3 linked regions of the Callithrix jacchus genome follow. The protein of the gene in region 1 purifies or fractionates together with the protein of each later gene. This does not show direct contact. Links are inferred from orthologs where the notes say so. Each region holds a gene or a part of one and is shown in the gene's direction. Other genes may lie near its edges.

Region 1 (5,965 bases):
ATACTTTAAGGGGCCAAGGCAGGAGAATCACTTGAGGCCAGGAGTTTGAGCCAGTCTGGGCAACACAGTGAGACCCCATGTCTACAAAAAGATATGTGTATTTTTTACATTAGCTGGGCCTACTGGGACACACTTGTAGTTCTAGCTATTCAGGAGACAGGTGAGAAGATCACTTGAGCCCAGGAGTTCAAGGCTGCAGTTAGCCATGGTCGCATTACTCACTCCAGCCTCAGGGACAGAGTGAGACCCTGTCTCTTAAAGAAAAAAAAAGATTATGTGGATGTAGCCCCTCTCTATCACAATACTGTACTGTACCACCTATTTTCAGACCACATTTAACATTTGACCATGGATAAATGAAACCATGGAAAGCGAAACTGCAGATAAGGGGGACTACTACTGCTAACAAGTCAGGTAGACTTAATTTCTGTAAGTTTTAACATTGAAAAGTTATTTTGTTGCTTTGAGTGTATCTTACTGGAAAAAAGAAGTCTTAACTAAGATGAAAATTGCTTCATACCTCTGTGTCAGCAAACTAATTTTCTAATGAAAATTTACTTTACATTTTATGTTTTAATGAAAAATGTTTCAGACATTGCTTTCATGAAAGTCTGAAAATGAAATTTGTTTTATAGCCATTCTGGTGTTGACTGAGTGACATAAACTCTTTTTTTAGCCCTTAATTTTTATATATAAACATTGCTAGCTAGTTTAAGCATCTACTTATTGTCCTTATCATATTTTCTTCACATTTTATATTTTGCATAATATAATTTCTTTTTAAAATGTTAGTTTAATTAAAACTTAAAGTGCATATTATAATTTTAAATTTTCCTACCATTTAAATTTATGGCATAGTACACAAAAGTATTGAACATGCTTGAGAAATAATTTGATTCTTCGAATTCATTTGCGTGTTCTAAATAGTTCCCATCCTTTGCATGTCTATGGCTTGCTGCTTATGTTTAGAAGAATTGTAGTTTGTTGTACTTAGAAACTTCTTTGGTTTTACCTACTAAGCACAAATATGCTATTTAAATCAATTGCTATATTGATTTTATGTATTCTCGTTAGCAGCCAACAGTCGACACCAAAGATAAAACTCAGTCTAATGAAAGTTAACAGGAAAAGTTGTTTTTTTTTTGCTTTAGTTTAGCTGTTCATGGTACAGGATATTATGGAAAAGAGAGCTTTACTAACATTTAATACTAAAAAATTATGTTTACTAAATATAGGTGTAAACCATAGTATCTAATAAATACACAGATACACACACACACAGTTTCTCTTACAATAATAAAATAATTTAATAATTTATGCTTTTTAAAATATTTATACTCATATTTGGTCAATACTTTTCTATAGTCAATTCATCATTTGTCTTTTTTATAGAAATTTTGAAAGTAAAGATAGTGGCAAATTGGTCTTTTAACTAGAAAAATTACAGAATCCTTCTATCTAAAAAATGATACTGCCTTCAGAACGTCTGCAATTTTGTAAATTTTTCTTCCTTAGCAGATAGCATACTTCCTGGTAAAAGAAAGCCAAAAGATGGTAAACCTCTTTGAAATGGATTCTTCTTTGATCATAACACATCTTAAATTTTGGTAGCTAGACCTTTAACTTGAAATGATCAAATTAAAGACCCTTTTGAATATGATACATGCTACCTTAATTATTATTTAGTTGTGTATCCAACATCTTTTGGAGGAGCAGCAGGGATGGGGGGATAAAAACTTCATTGCCTCAGGTAGGTATTAAGTATAGAGGTCAATCACATTTTTAGTTGTACATCAAGAATGACTAGCATCTATTAAATTATAAAAATTAAATTTTCCAGCCCTATTTAGTATTAATTGGGTAGGTAGTTCTTCATTTGTATCACCCTTATCGTTGCCTGTGTAGAATATACTTACTATTAATACTATTCTACTAATTTTTCTATTATTTCCAATTCTGAATTGATAATCCATGGTTTTTGTTTCATTGCTTAACAATGTTTGTATCCTTTATTTAGCAAATAGTTTACACTGGCCTATTTTGTATCAGTCAAGATTTTTCTCAGGTAACAGCTTTATTATTATTTTTATTTTAATGAACAAAGGTAGGATTACATAAGAAAAGAAAACTAAACTTATGAAAAGGGACCTTAAAGCTAGTGTTTCTAATTTTATGGACATTGCCTTATATATAATCTAATCAAAGTGGAAGATTTATTTTTGTTGCTTGTCTATTTTTATACAAAATGATGCCCCTAAACTCAACGTCTTTGTTGGCTTTGTTTTATTATATAGCCTAAATAAAAATTAATGAAATCTAATTGGTATATAAATTAAACCTTAAATATGAAGGCTGTTAATGTAGGTGAGAAAAATGATATATATGCATTTTTCTTTTATTTTTAAGCATATTTTCTTTTAAAATTATTTCACAAATTATAAATGTTCCTACTAACAAGAAAGCCAAATATTATGTACTAGTGGTACTTACTGGAAATTTTAGAATTCATTTATTTATATTTACTACCTCTTGCATTTATGCTCTTCTTTCTCTAAATTTGTGCACTGTAAGCTGAGTATATGTTGCTGAATCTACGCTGTATGACAAAACATTTTTAATCATATTTTTATTAATGCATCAAAGGGTTGGAATGATCCTCTTTGTGTAGTTTCATCTGTAGGCATAACTATCTTTGGATTGAGGCTTTACTTGAAAGCCTATTTTTTGAATGTTCTAGAACTTTCTTAGAAAAGTTTAAAAGAGCCCTCACAATTTTAAAAACTAATTTTATTGTTTTAAATTGTTTTAAGGGTTTATCCCTAAGTAAAGAAATTAAACAAGCATGATCTATTACTTGCAATTTTTATTTCACAGCACATATTGATAATAAATGCCATTTTAAAGCAAAAGAAAATCTATCATGATCGTTGCAAGAGATCTTTATTAAGGAAACTAATGTAAATCATGCTATATTTCAGTTAAATCAAGATATAGGTAAAGATTTAGGGTTTACCATGTGAATATTGTGTGGTAGTGCACATTAATTTGTATTGAAATCTTTACATTGTTACCATTGCATGTGTTCACTGTATTTTCTAATGTGTCACTGTTTTCTCTTTATAAATAAGTATTTGAAAGTAACCATTCCATACCAATTCAAACTACCATCTGGTCTCTAAGCTTGTTATATGAAAATCTTTTATCATTGTCTTTCATTGTAAGTGTTTTATGATGAGCTACACCTGAGTTGTACATTTTCTTTTTCTTTTATTTGCTTCTGTATACAGGCTGGCTTAGCGGGAGCTCCAGCCCGTGCTGTATCAGCTGTAAAGAATATGAATCTTCCTGAGATCCCAAGAAATATTAACATTGGTGACATCAGTATAAAAGTGCCAAACCTACCCTCTTTTAAATAAAAATTTTTAAAGGCTACTCCCAGGTAAAATCCAGGGGGGAAAGTCGTCTAAGTTTACCATGCAGTTGTTTACCAAAAATAGAGGAGGAGAATCTTAACTTTTGCTCTTGGATTTAAGTCAAGATACTGTACAGAAGTTGTGTAAAATCAGTATGAAAGTTCAATGTTGCTTTTCTTGCTCAGTGATTTTAAGGAAATTGAGTAGTTCCTATGTGATTTTTTTTTTCTTTTCTAAACTGCATTCCTGTGTCCACCTACGGCATGCCTCTATGTATCGGCTACTACAGTGTTTTAAAAAGTGTTTCAGATATTTCTTTAATTATGTACAACCTAAAACGTTGGTGTTTTGTATGGATCACAAGTGCAGCATTCCTTAATTCCTTCTGCTATTTGTCACACAATTGTTATTTAAAGAACCAAGTGTGTATTGCATGAAAACATTATGACTTTTTTCTCTTAGTTTAAATAAACTCCAAGGTAACTGGACTTCTAAAGCACCCTTCTGTTTGCCTGATATCTACTTTAGCAATAATTTTTTTTACAACCCTCTGACTCCACAAAGTAAATAAAAGTATATTTTATCACTGTTAAGCAGCTGTTAATGTCGATTTATTTTATACTCATGTTTTTAATATTCAGAAACTCAGCAAATTATTCTAAAACTCAGTTATTTCACAAATGAAGAGCAGTCTATCTCATAGCATATTGTGCAAGGTGAGATCTGGAGTAGGAGGTAACAATCTTTCTAAAATGTATATTGAGTCCAGGCGTGGTGGCTCACACCTATAATCCCCGCACTTTGGGAGGACAAGGCGGGCGGATCACCTGAGGTCGGGAGTTTGAGACCAGCCTGACCAACATGGAGAAACCTCGTCTCTACTAAAAATACAAAATTTACAACGTTGGCCAGGCGTGGTAGTGCATGCCTATATTCCCAGCTACTCAGGAGGCTGAGGCAGGAGATTCGTTTGAACCCAGGAGGCAGAGGTCGCAGTCAGCTGAGATCATGCCATTGTGCTCCAGCCTGGGCAACAAGAGTAAAACTCCATCTCAAAAAAAAAAAAAAAATGTATATTGAGAAAATGTAAAATCTTTTTTTTTTTTTTGAGACAGAGTCTCGCTCTGTTACCAGCACCAGGCTGGAGTGCAGTGGTGCAGTCGCTGCTCACTGCAACCTCTGCCTCCCAGGTTCAACCAATTCTCCTGCCTCAGCCTCCCATGTAGCTGGGACTACAGGTGCGCACCACCATGCCCAGTTAATTTTTGTATTTTTAGTAGAGACAGGGTTTCACCATGTTGGCCAGGATGGTCTCGATCTCTCGACCTCGTGATCTGCCCGCCTCGGCCTCCCAAAGTGCTAGGATTATAGGCGTTAGCCACGGCGCCCGGCTGTAAAATCTTTTTTATACAAATGGCTTTAAGCCTTGCCTCCTGTTCTTTCTTGCCCATATGATGAAAAACAATTTCAGCAAATACCTAATTGATTTTGAATAGAAAAACCCTTGGGGCTCAACTTTTCTGTTTTATCCTCAAGCAAAGTTAAACTAATATTTTCTCAAGTCCTAACACTCACATATTCTGGTTTCTCATAATTGGCCCATATTTTATTTGGCCTTCCAGTGAGTAAGGTTACTTTTTCAGGTAGACTAAGGTTTTCCTTACATTTCTAGTTCTCCTTCCTCAAATGTTCTCTTTGAATCACTTCCATAGATTTGCAGCATGTATGAATTTTACCTCAAGAACCCTGAGATATAAGAAAAGTTATTTTATTTTTTTCTAAATAAAATTAATCTGTCTCCAAGCTCCGCATTGTGTTAAGATAACAGGAAATTTAATCTGTGATTATTGGGATTTCTATCAGCTCAAGGATATGCAAACGTCCTAAAGAAAGGTTATGCAAAGTATAGCATTTCAGGAGGTCCTAGGTCTTAATCATTTGACAAATGTTTATTAAGTGCCTACTGTGCCCCCCAATTAGTCCCTGTCTTCATGGAATGATATAAGTAAGAGTGCCTAGTAGTGCTCCCCTACCAGTCCACCCTTTTTCTTTTCGCTTTGTTTTTGCGAAACAAATTATGGGAAGGTTAAGTGGTTAGTATATGCCAAAATGAGGGAAACCTCTGGGCCAGACACCGTATTTTATCTTCAAGAAACAGTCAAAAGTGTTTTATCTCTCATTATATTCTTTCACATACAATGCCCAAACAACCTACCATCCTTCCTCCCCTTCCATTCTCTCATCTCCCACTTCCACTTTCTTTCCTGCAGAAAGTACTTACTGAGCATTAGCTACATGCCAGGCATTGTTCTAGGTACTAGGATAGAGCAGGGAACAAACTAGATTCTGTTGGAACATAAATTAATGTGGGGTGAAACAATAAATGTATGATATGTCAGGAGGTGATAAGTGCTATGGAGAAAAGTAAAGCTAGGTAAAAGAGACAAGGAGTAGTAAGGTTGGGGGAGAGGAGTTTGGCTGTTGCTGATATATATAGAATAGGTAGGAGGAGGCATCTCTGATGAAATAACCTTTGAACGAAAACCTGAAGG
Region 2 (6,320 bases), on another chromosome or scaffold:
AGCCATGATAGCAGTACTGCACTCCAGCCCTGGGTGACAGAGCAAGACCCTGCCTCAAAAAAAAATTTAGATTCTACGCTGGCACACCTGTAGTCCCAGTTATTCTGGGGGCCAGCTGGGACTAGCTAGTGAGATCTCAACTCTTAAAAAAGAAAAATGAATGAATGAATTACCGTATTCCAACTAGAGTTAGGTATGGACCTTGTTCCCTGACCTGTTTTAATAGAGATAGATATAAAGCTTCAGTATGTCTGATACTCAGGGGGTATCTCCATTATTCTAGATACAGTGTTTGTGTGGGCTAGGTGTGGTGGCACACCTATATTCCCAGCTGTTCGGGAGGCTAGCACAGGAGGATTACTTGAGCCCAGGAGTTTGAGGCTGCAGTGAGCTATGATCATGCAACTGCACTCCCACCTTGGCAACAGAGCAAGACTCTGTCTCTAAAAACAATAAATAAATAAAAATAAAAAGATACAGTGAAAGCTCTAGTTAAGACTGAGATTCTATTGATGTTGTCTCCCTTTTTTTTTCTTCAGGATCTACAGTCTTTGCAGAAATTCAGGGGGTCATTGATGCTTGCATTAAACTATCTGGAATGCCTGATCTCTCCCTTTCTTTCATGGTAAGTTTTATTCTCCTGTTTTATAGCCCCTTGCATGCCTAATACATGTGAAGTACTAAATGAAATGATAAAATTGAGATAAGTTTGCATCTTAGATTGCAAAGGATTATCTGAAAAATATTTCTAGCAGAGTTTCCTAAGACAATCGCGTACACGATGAGCCTGGTCTTTATGGAAAGGCTAAGGGAAGTCTTTGCCTGAGTGTGCTAGGAAGCGCTTAAAATTGGCTGGCTTCTGCAAAACACCAACATCATTTTTACTGAATAATTACTTGCTTTGCTGATATGAAAGGGCATTGGTCTTTTGTATCATTGTAGAGTCCGCATAACATACTGCTAGGAACAATTAAGAGAACTGACTTCTGGTATTGTCACCAGTTTGTCCTGACCTTAAGTCCTCTGAACCTCGGTTTTGTTTGTTTGTTTGTTTTTTATAGAGACAGGGTTTCTCCATGTAGGTCAGGCTGGTCTTGAACTCCTGACCTCGGGTGATCCGCCCGCCTCAGCCTCCCAAAGTGCTGGGATTACAGGCGTGAGCCACCGTGCCCGGCTGGACCTCAGTTTTTTTTAATCTGTTAAAGGGAAATAATACTACTTGCCTTTTCTTCTTTATGGCTATTGAAATTCAAATAAATTAATTTACATAAAATATTTATAAACTTTAAAGCATTGTGACACTGTAAAGTTATGTTGATGTGGTCATAAACTCTTCCATGACTGCTTTATTTTCAGGAAATATATTAATTTGTCAAGATATCTGAGTAGAGTTAACATATTTATTATACTATATGAACACGACTGTCTTCTGTTTTGCTGGCAGAACCCTAGGCTTCTGGATGATGTCAGCTTCCACCCCTGCATCCGGTTCAAGCGTTGGGAATCTGAAAGAGTTTTGTCATTTATTCCTCCAGATGGAAATTTCAGACTCATATCATACCGTGTCAGCTCACAAAAGTATGTTCAGATGCATCAGCCGGAATCTGCCATCATACATATCAAGCAGAACTCACCTGTCCCTGTTTCTTTCTGACAGTTGAATCCTTGAGGTCATCACTGCTCACTTTAACCATGGCTCACCAGGAAACCCAGTGAGAACTGGCAAAAATACACACCTAAAATAATCAGTATACTTTGAATGTATGAGTTTAGAGTGGTACTAAGTGAGACTAGAGTAAAACCTATAGCTAAGAGCAAGCAGACTGTATATAACCTGGGGAAAAGGTTATGGTACCAGTTCTTTGCAAGGTTATGGGCGGTCAAATTATGGCACTGGTTCTTTGCTCAGGTTATGCGTGGTCCATTTTGCTCCCTGTTTGTGACAGCTGAGTACTTTGCAAGTAAAGCAAAATGGACCATGCATAACCTGGGCAAAACCATGAACCATTGCCGTAATCTTACCATGGTCTGTAGACTTTGTAGCTAACAGAAGGAGACAGACCTACCTGTAGCTCATAAGGACATTCCCCAACTTACTGCCTCAAGTCACTCTTCTCTGCATTGAGTTTTAAAGGAACTGTTTAGCATTGGGGGCTGGGAGCTGTGGTTTACTCCTGTAATCCCAACACTTTGGAAGGCCAAGGTGGGCAGATCACTTGAGGTCAGGAGTTCTAGACCAGTCTGGTCAACATGGTGAAACCCCGTCTCTACTAAAAATATAAAATTAGTAAGGAGTGGTAGCATATGCCTACAATCTCAACAACTTGGGAGGCTGAGACATGAGAATCACTTGAACCTGGGAGGCAGAGGTTGCAGTGACATATCATGCCACTGCATTCCAGCCTGACCAACAGGGTGAAACTCCATCTCAAAAAGAAAAACCACTTAGCATTGAGGGTCATAGTTATAGCTAGTTTGTTTCTTGAAAATACCAGAAATTATTTGATTTACATCATGACAAGATTCAAAAGCAGAGAAATCATTTCTTAGCTCTTATGACATAGGAACTGTTTCAATTATATAAAACATATTTTAGGCCAGGCACAGTGAATGGCTCACACCTGTAATCCCATCACTTTCGGAGGCCGAGGTGGGCAGATCACCTGGGGTCAGGAGTTTGAAATCAGCCTGGCCAACATGGTGAAACCCCATCTCTACTAAAAATACAAAAATTAGCTGGGCGTGGTGGCAGGTGCCTGTAATCCCCACTACTCTGGAGGCTGACTCAGGAGAATTGCTTCAACCCAGAAGGCAGAGCTTGCAGTGAGCCAAGATCACGCCATTGTACTCCAGCCTGGGTGACAGGGTGAGACTTTGTCTCAAAAAAAAATACACACACACACATATATATGTATTTTACACTATTTTTCCATTGAATTGTAATTCATTTTTTAAACTAGGACCATTTGCCCCAATTGTTTCTTGTTTTGGGGGGCTTTTTTTGAGATGCAGTTTCACTATTGTCGCTCAGGCTGGAATGCAGTGGCTCAGTCAGCTCACAGCACCCTCCACCTCCTGGGTTCAAGCAGTTCTCCTGCCTCAGCCTCCCAAGTATCTGCGATTACAGGCACTCACAACCACTCCCGGCTAATTTTTTTTTTTTTTTTTTGAGATGGAGTTTTGCTCTTGTTGCTGAGGCTGGAGTGCAATGGCTTGATCACAGCTCACTGCAACCTCCGCCTCCTAGGTTCAAGTGATTCTCCTGCCTCAGCCTCCCAATTAGCTGGAACTATAGGCACGTGCCACCCTGCCCAGCTAATTTTTGTATTTTTAGTAGAGACGGGGTTTCACCATGTTAGCCAGGCTGGTCTCAAACTCCTGACCTCAGGTGATCCACTCACCTAGGCCTTCCAAAGTACTGAGATTGCAGGGGCACCACACCTGGCCCCGGGTAATATTTGTATTTTTGTAGAGATAAGGTTTCACCATGTTGGCCAGGCTACTTTCAAACTCCTGACCTCAGGTTATTCCTGCCGTCTTGGCCTCCCAAAGTGCTGGGATTACGGGTGTGAGTCACCATGCCTGGCTGATTTTTTAAAGTGATATTTTCAGTTCTTAGCTGGTCAAATTCAAGGATGCAGAACTGTGGCTTCAGAGAGCCAACTCTGAAGAGCCTTACTGTGGAGTTAAAGGGAGGATAGGATACTCTGTACAGAGGTTTTCAGGATACCTCTGGAGCTGTCCCCACACCATTAATTGTATTTGTGCTTTTGTGTCTTTCTCTGTTTCTCTTTTTAGTCTAGTGGCAATACCAGTGTATGTGAAACATAGTATCAGCTTTAAGGAGAACAGTTCTTGTGGCAGATTTGATATAACAATTGGACCAAAGCAGAATATGGGGAAAACTATTGAAGGAATTACAGTGACAGTTCACATGCCAAAAGTTGTGCTGAACATGAACCTGACACCCACACAAGGCAGCTATACATTTGATCCAGTCACCAAGGTACAGCCACTTCAAATCAAGAGTGAGCAAGTGTTTCTGCAATCTATTTTGTGATTTGGGGGGAGGGGTGGGGGGAAAGGTTTAGCACCTTGTTTAAAACTAAAGTTTGTATCAAAACCTGGAGAGCATACTGTACTGTGCTTCTGCCACTGGCTACAAAGGGAATCCTGCACCAAGTAGATGAACAGAAAAGCGAGTTGTTCTGTCCTTTTTCAGAGTGTGTCTTCACTCATCCATTATTAATCCAGAGCCTCATTCTGCTATCTAATAAGAAAGAAGTAAAAGTTTTTTTTGTTTTGTTTTTTTTTTTTGAGACAAGAGTCTTGCTCTTATTGCCCAGGCTGGAGTGCAATAGCGTGATCTTAGCTCACTGCAACTTCCGCTTCCCACGTTCAAGTGATTCTCCTACCACAAAGCCTCTTGAGTAGCTGGGATTACAGGCAAGCACCACCACGCCCAGCTAATTTTTTTGTATTTTTAGTAGAGACAGGGTTTCACCATGTTGGTCAGCCTGGTCTCGACCTCCTGACTGCCCACCTCGGCCTCCCAAAGTAATGGGATTACATGCGTGAGCCACCTCACCCAGCCAGTAAAAGCTTTTTTAAAAAGAGAAAACATTATGTAGATAAAAGAATTATGGTCTATGAATTATTAAGTTTTCTATGTAAATTGATCATTAAGACCTTTTTCTTTTTAATTTAAAAGCATCACTTCATACTCTTTCTTGGGGCTAGGAAAGATGCTCACCTTACTTACATTTTCCTATAGCAGAGGGTTTTTAGAGAAACTGTAGCAGATTATTTTCTCCCAGCTTCCTGCTTAGGTAGTAAATATGATTGTTTTCAATACCAGAGTCATTGCGGTGCCTGATAAATGAAAAGACACATTTTTTGAATAATGTCATAGAATGTTAAAGATTATTTAATGTGGTTGCAAGGATTCAAAGGACCTCCTCCTGGACACCACACAGGGCTGAGAAGGAAAGTTTCAGTTTCCTGGCCCTTTACCGCAGCTTCAACTATGACAGCTTTGCTTTTTTCTCATTTGCTGTTGAGCCTCCACACTAAAGATTTCATTTGAACAATGGGTTGCACAGCTAAAGTTTTTAAAACACCATCTCAAGTCAATCTAATGATTTTACAGAAAAATTAACAGGCCCAGAGAAAAGTAGTAAAGATGGTATGATGGAGAACATTTGAAATCAGAGGGTCTTAGGTGCAAATCCCAGCCTTTCCTCTGACTAGCTCTGTGGCTTTGAGCAAGTCATTTGATCTCTGACCCTTAATTTCCTCATTTGTAAATAGAAGACAAAAGCTACTTCACAGCCCTCAATGAGACAACATATGAATAGTGCTAAGCACAGTGCTAATACAAAAGAAAATGCTCAACAAATGTGGATTCTCTGCTCTCACTTCCCATTCAAAGTCACAGAGCTAATCAGAAGTAAACTCATTGTAGATCCCAGATACCTTGTTTTCAATAGACTGCACTTCATTTTGTACAGAAGTTTATGGTGTCTTTAAACCTTCTTTTTGAGGGTTTGTCTTTAATAGATAGTTCCATTCGTTCATCATTTTTTTTGTCTTTCCAAGGTACTAACATGGGATGTGGGAAAAATTACTCCACAGAAGCTCCCAAGTCTTAAAGGACTGGTAAATTTACAGTCTGGAGCCCCCAAACCAGAAGAGAATCCGAGCCTCAACATACAGTTTAAGATCCAGCAGCTTGCTATTTCAGGTAAGAGTAAGGCTCACTTGTAGTTAAGGGTAATTGAGTTTTACAAGCTCAATTATTAGGCACTTAAAAGGGTAACAAAATTTCCCACTCTAGAAAGAGCAACAGCCCATTTGCCTTTTGCACTGTGCTTGGGAGACCAGTCTCTCAGGCACCAACCAAATGATTTTGGAGAGCGCCTTGTTTCACACAGCCTCCCCTTACCTCTGCCCTCATTCAAGCACCAAAGAGGGAGTTGTTCATATTTACAGAAAGTAGAGTTATACTTCACAGACATTCCCTGCCTATGTGGTATGCTTAACCAAAACCATCCCATCAAGTGCAATAATTTGTAAATGGTAAAAGAGATGTTTCTTCCAAATGGTAGAAGGGACACTGGTTAATGTCAGATTTACCATGCTCATTGCTAACATTATATTGGTTGAGATCATGATAATTTATTCTTTTTCACTCTTTTTGACACAGGCTTAAAAGTAAACCGTTTGGACATGTATGGGGAGAAATATAAGCCATTTAAAGGAGTCAAATACGTCACGAAAGCTGGAAAGTTCCAAGTGAGAACATAAGAAGAGGCCAAAAT
Region 3 (6,320 bases), about 39 Mb from region 1:
AATTATGCTTCACTTTAAAAATATACATATATTTTTATGTATTTTCTTCTTCAAAGAGTCATATTATACCATAATCTATACATAAAACATTTAAAAGTATAATTCCTCAATATAACTTTATCATCTCTTTCACCTGTAGAAAACTCCTTTACTAGTTCAAATAAGTAGTAACTCTTTAGTCATTTTGCTGACTGTCTTTTGAATTAGGAGGTTTTTCCAGGTGATTCGAATGGCTCATTTTCCTCTCAAAATTTGTTCCTAAGATTCAACTGTTGCCTTCTTTTAATCTAAATAGAATTTCCCATTATAAGCAGAAGAATTCAAAGTTATTTCTTTAGCCTTATATCAATCCTTAGTAATTCTTTAAAAGAAACTTTTTGACATAACTAGATATGTTGGGGTTTAAAAAGTGGGATTCCCTCAAGTTTGTTTTATTTGGTTCACCTTTGCTTAGCTTTTCTCTACTCTGTCAGAGCATCCTCTCTCTGTCTGCATCCCCCGAAGCTCACTGTGCTAAAGGAATACGTAGAGCTGAAAGAATGGGGTGTGGGAATAAAGTATTGAACAAGTGATGTCCACTGAACTAAAATTCAACATCTGGTTTTACTTGTGATGAATATTGACAGTTACAGGTGTCCGTGTGTTTAATTAAATGATTATAAATCTGAGAACATCTGGTTCTGTTTTTCAGAGAGTGAATCTGGAAGTGAAAGTGGAGAACAAGGCCAAAGTGGGGAGGAAGGAGACAGCAGTGAGGATAGCAGTGAGGACTCCTCCAGTGAGCAGGGCAATGAAAGTGGAAGGGACTCAGGCCGAGAAAACAAAAGAACAGCCAAGAAGAACTCAAAAACCAAAGGAAAAAGGTAACTTATTTTGTCAGAATTTCCTTCAAAGAAATACTCTGAAATTGTGCCCCAGCAAGATAGTTCTTGTTAGTCCAAAAATAGTGAGGAAAAAAGTGTGTATTTTTTCCCAAACAGATATTAAATCTTTTAGAATTAAAGTGCTAGTTGTTCACATTATTTTCCTACTTATGCTTAGCTTTCATATTGAACTTGAACATATCTTGGGGTTACATTTTGAAAATTGGTATAACCTTGGAAGGCTGAGTTAAGTGATCAAGCAATAGGTATGAAACACTTAATTACCTTTTGTAGCAATTTTGCTGAGGGCTAAAATTAAATCCTTCAACACTTTGCCATTATGTAACCAAGACAATTGATTTTTCTAAATAATGTTATATTAAAAAGATTATGACTCAAATATTAGAGTCAAGGGCTGTGAAGGAAGACGGTCATAGGATATTTAAGTGTTAGCACTTTTTAAGATCTCCCATTATCAACAACATTATCATGTATTAAAATGTCATTAAAATTTTGAGTAATTGGGGCTAATATCTTGGATTGTGCAACTCTGTTTTCCCCACTGCTGTCAGCGAGTGGCCTCTGCCAACATGATGGTCCTTTCCGCGAGAGCCTACTGCCCGCTCACTTGATGAGCTTGCAGCTCGGCTCAGTCGTGGCTGACAGCACTGATTGGGGCGCAGTACGCTCTCTGCTCCTTTTATTACAGACAGTAATTAAAGCAGCTCGCCCTGCCACTTCCATAACAAACACAGCATAATGCCCTAATTATGACTTTATTAATTTAAGTCAGGATTTAATGATTTTAAAAGTGATTTATATTGTTTTTCCTGTTCAGAACAAATGAAATCTGTAGGTTAAATTAATACAGGCTTTTCATCATTGCAAAGTTAAAAACCTAGTTACCAGTAAATTCTTTTCATTAGATTAACATCTGAAACTCTAAGCAGTAAGGTAAACAATAATTACCATCAAAATTGAGTGATGCATAATAAAATAACACTTTTACTTTTAAAATCTTATCTTAAAAGCCAGAAGTTAAATATATTTAGAATCATTCACTTGTTGCAGCAAAGGAGCCACTTGCTTTATAATAGCCTTGTCTTTGAGAGAAATTCCGTATTTCTGGTTTAATATCAGAGTATCTATGATGATATGAGTTATAAAACATGTCTTGTTTCTAGAAAGGGAAAGTTTTGTTCAGTGCATGAAATGTCTTTTCAGATAGCAAAAGTCAGTGTGCTAGAAATTTGTAGTCATGCATTAGTTTTATTAGTTTTTTTCTTCAGAAATGGATTTTTCTCTTTACCCATGTTTGAATTAAAAGAATTGTTTACTTCACCAAGTAGAATTACAAATACATTCTGAACCTTATATTTTTAAGTACACATTTTAACCAGTGAATTGAGGATAATAAATTGCCGTTTTTTGCCAAGGAAAAAACAACAACATATTTTTCAGTCTTCAAATATAATTACATGTGCTCTGAGATGTTACCATGGTTCCATTTTTAATAAACAGCAATCATATTTCCTCTACAAAAATCAGTTCTAGGAAATATCAATCCTTCCTTTGCCTCACTACTCTTCCTCTCCCTGTATTTTTCTCCCTGTCTCTTAGAATTTATTTTTAACTTTGTCAGCATGGTAATTTTTTAAAGCTCTTAATAAGCTTTAAGCATCTTCAAAAACCACCATTTAGTAATCATAAATATTTATTACCAAATTTAAATTTTACACTCCACGGTATTTTCATTTGAAGGGAGATAGTATGACATAGTGGAAAAAATACAGACTTTGGTGTGAGATAGACTTGAGTTCCAGTTCTGCCCCTCCTGTTATATGTCTTTGAGCAGGTTATTTAACCTTTCTAAATATTAATTTCATTATTGTAAATGGAATAATAATGTACCCAGGAAGAGTGCATTTAAATTAGATAATCGGTATGATTGGTATGAAATACCTAGCCCTTTCCGGTCCACAATAGATTCTTAAAAAAATACACACACATGTGGTAGAGAGAACTAGACCTTTAGTTTCCAGGAAAATATAAACACCACAAAGCAGCTCTCATCCCCTGAGAAAAGGGTGTTAATGGCCATCTCGCATGTTATTCCTTCTCCTTGGAGAACTGCTTCCTGGCCCATCTGCTGGCCTTATTCCTGTATCTTGGCTTATATGTCTCATTCTCAAGGAAGCATTCCTAAGTGGATTAAGTTTTTTTAGTTGTCTCTACAAATACTGTTCTGACACACTGTAATTTATTACTTATTACTTATCATACTATATTATCTCTGCCACCTTATCTGTATTCTCCAGTGGACTGAAGACTATAGGGTAGACACACAGAGATCCTCTGTGACTTACTACCCTCAGCACCTAACATAATACCAACATGTAGTCAATAATTAATAAATACTTGTTGAGCAGGTGAACAAATGAATGGTGTTAAGCACTTAGGTATGATCATTTGGTATTTTTAAAGTTGATATTTGATTAGCTTAAATTTTTAGCAAGACAGTACATTAGAAGAATTTGCTTTGAACTGGTTAACATTTTCTCATATGTTTAAGGTCACATTTGGGAACTTGTGCAGTAATTTTCCTTGACAGAAAAATGTATAAAATACAAGTCCGTTTTAGCAAAAGCAGATATATAAATATTAAATATATTACTAAGCCAGGTGTGATGGATCAATCCTGAAACCCCAACATTTTGGGAGACTGAGGTGGGAGGATGACTTGAGCCCAGGAGTTCCAGAGCAGCCTAGGCAACATAGTGAGACCGTGTCTCTACAAAAAATATATAATTAAGTGTGGTGGCACATGCCTGTAGTCCCCACTGCTTGGGAGGCTGAAGTGGGAGAATTGCTTGAGCCCAGGAGGTAGAGGCTGCAGTGAGCCATGATCGTACCAGTGTACTCCAGCCTAGGTGACAATGAGACCCTGTATGTAGATATGTATACATACCTAATATTTTGAGATAGCATTTAAAAAAAATCAGCCTAAATATCTTTGAAGTTATTACTACTGGCACTTAATTCTTGGTAAATGAAACATTTAATATTTTCTACATTGTTTTTGATGATACTATTTAGTGTCATTTTGTGTATGACAGGATAGAATTGAATTTGAATGGGTTCTGATTAATTTGGTTACTAGTAATACCTTTATTATTACCTTATTAATATATTCTAGAATTTAACCACCTTTTATATAAACTACTTATATAAAGAAAGTTCACATTTCAAAATTTACTATTATATATAGTGATGCTGAAGATGGGGAGAAGGAAAATGAAAAATCTAAAACTTCAGATTCTTCCAGTGCCGAATCTAGTTCAATAGAAGACAGTTCTTCAGATTCTGAATCAGAGTCAGAATCTGAAAGTGAATCTGAATCCAGAAGAGTCACTAAGGTAAGAGATTATACATTTGTTATCATTGAAAGTAAATATTCTTATAGCAACTAAAATAAACAACACCATTGTCATCTACACCTGTGATTTTGTTTTTTCTAGATAAGCCTCTCCCTTATAACCCAACTCTGCAGAAAAGTTAGGAACTTTAAAAAAACTCACCCTTAGCCACTGAAATCAGGGAACTCAATGTTATGCATATGGGCTTTTTTGTTCTTGGCTAGGTTGTGACAAGGGGGGTTTTTGCTGAAAGGGAAGTGAAAGGAAGTCACAAAAATAGTATTGAGCAAAGAAATGTAAGTGTACATACATCATTAGAAATTGAGACTATTAAGCCTTTTAAAATATTGGGCATTTTGCATAATTGTGTTTTAAAGCTTTAATTAAAGTATATACATTCTTTATATAGTAAGAATTGGAAGTAACCATTTATTTAAAAACAAATGTAAGAACTACTTATATAATAAAATAATAGTGCTTTTTGATAACATTTGTAACACTGAACTTGGCCTGCTTAGCAGGAAAAAAATTAAAGTATATATATTGCAAGACTATACTTATTAATATAAAATTTATCCTATCTGATTTCACATCTAGTTAAAAGAATGAAATAGTAGTATAGAATTCAGACCTAATGATAAGTATCTTTTTGGTCTTTAATAATCACCCCCTTCCTAAAAATGGACCTTGTTGATGCTAGATTTCAAGGTTAGTAGTTTTATATATAACTGTGTTATTCTGTTTGTTGAAAATATGTTCAAACCCTGCCTTTCATTCAGTTTAATTTCTTCTTAATCCAATATTGTTTTTGTTTATTTGTTCTATTAACTTGTATTTTTTTGGTATGTTATCTGAGTAGCAAGTATGAAAATTAATTTATTGAAGTAAACAATTGCCCTCCCCCTTCCAGAGATTTATTGTTAAAGAATGTTTTAAAAATTGGCTAGTATTTGTCTTGCCTTATTTCACATATTTTCTTGCATATATTAAAACCTATCTTAAACTTGAATTTATATTTAAAACTTGCATCTGTATATCAAATAACCTAAGATTTTTATTTTTAAAAAATTTACATAAAATCTTAAGAGATTTTGTGGTTTATTAATCTGGCCTCATATAAAAACTTATCACATAGTGAGTTTGGTGTACTTGCATTTCATACTTACATCAAATTACCAGAAAGTTTAAAATGTTATTGAAAATAAAGAGAGTTACAAATCAACAGTAAATACAACCCAGAGTAAGAAGTGTTTTTTAAAATGACAGAACAAAAAATCATTGAGTGTCAAGATGTGGAAGTTATTCTTGGGAAGTTTTGAAACAGTTGAAAAATTACAGACTTCAGTGCCTCTATAGTATTAGAAGCAGAGCTTTAGGATCTCATTAAAAAGCCACAGTGGTTGAACATCATGTTGTATTGTATCCCTTCGCCCCCCCGCCCCGCCCCGAGGAAAAAAAAAAAAAGAAAAGAAAAGAAAAGCCACAGTGGCACTCCAGGTCAGTGATTCTTTTTGTTTCTTCTTTGTCAAAGACTTTCAGTGATCGGATTAAATCTCTTGATAATTTAAAAATATTTTCCTATAGAACATCAGTATAAAAAATTCAAACTATTGCAATGAGCCAAGACCTTTGAGAAATTTGGGTTTCATGTACATTGTTGATAGTTTTGTGTTCATGTGTCCCTTAGGTGGCTTATTTTCTTTATATTAGAATGCCTTTTCCTGTCTATAAAGGCATACAGGACTGTGGAGTTTTTTGCTTTAGTTTAGCAATTAGAATAAGTATACTCCACCTTGGAGCTACCATAACTACTTATTTATTTCTATTTCTTTTTGAATGATTTGGCGTATACCATGCAGTTACAGAGTATACCAATTTTCTAATAATATGCAACTATAACTGTGGAAATGTCCTCCTTGCACCAAGTGTTGTGGCTTCTGCTCTAAATTATGAGTAATGAAGGCAGATGGTGGGTACTTTACTTTAATTTAGCATGGCAATATGTTAGTGCTGAAAATTCATATGCCTTATATCTGCAGCC

Evidence for each region.
Region 2: the proteins of AP3S1 (region 1) and AP3M1 purify together in Homo sapiens (co-immunoprecipitation; 4 studies listed by BioGRID and IntAct, counting the BioPlex papers as one, with this or other methods). This does not show direct contact. The link is inferred for Callithrix jacchus from reciprocal best matches to the Homo sapiens genes AP3S1 and AP3M1.
Region 3: the proteins of AP3S1 (region 1) and AP3B1 fractionate together in Homo sapiens (co-fractionation; 5 studies listed by BioGRID and IntAct, counting the BioPlex papers as one, with this or other methods). This does not show direct contact. The link is inferred for Callithrix jacchus from reciprocal best matches to the Homo sapiens genes AP3S1 and AP3B1.

What each region holds. Positions count from the first base shown.
Region 1 is NC_133503.1:93,916,852-93,922,816, reverse strand, and holds the end of AP3S1 (AP-3 complex subunit sigma-1), read left to right. Parts: intron 1-2,017; coding exon 2,018-2,065; intron 2,066-3,287; coding exon 3,288-3,416; 3' UTR 3,417-4,006; downstream 4,007-5,965. UniProt on the Homo sapiens protein: Part of the AP-3 complex, an adaptor-related complex which is not clathrin-associated. The complex is associated with the Golgi region as well as more peripheral structures.
Region 2 is NC_133513.1:56,079,221-56,085,540, forward strand, and holds part of AP3M1 (AP-3 complex subunit mu-1), read left to right. Parts: intron 1-539; coding exon 540-625; intron 626-1,444; coding exon 1,445-1,578; intron 1,579-3,798; coding exon 3,799-4,006; exon of another isoform or gene 4,007-4,028; intron 4,029-5,598; coding exon 5,599-5,743; intron 5,744-6,205; coding exon 6,206-6,306; 3' UTR 6,307-6,320. UniProt on the Homo sapiens protein: Part of the AP-3 complex, an adaptor-related complex which is not clathrin-associated. The complex is associated with the Golgi region as well as more peripheral structures.
Region 3 is NC_133503.1:132,938,192-132,944,511, forward strand, and holds part of AP3B1 (AP-3 complex subunit beta-1), read left to right. Parts: intron 1-691; coding exon 692-863; intron 864-4,131; coding exon 4,132-4,279; intron 4,280-5,640; exon of another isoform or gene 5,641-5,776; intron 5,777-6,320. UniProt on the Homo sapiens protein: Subunit of non-clathrin- and clathrin-associated adaptor protein complex 3 (AP-3) that plays a role in protein sorting in the late-Golgi/trans-Golgi network (TGN) and/or endosomes.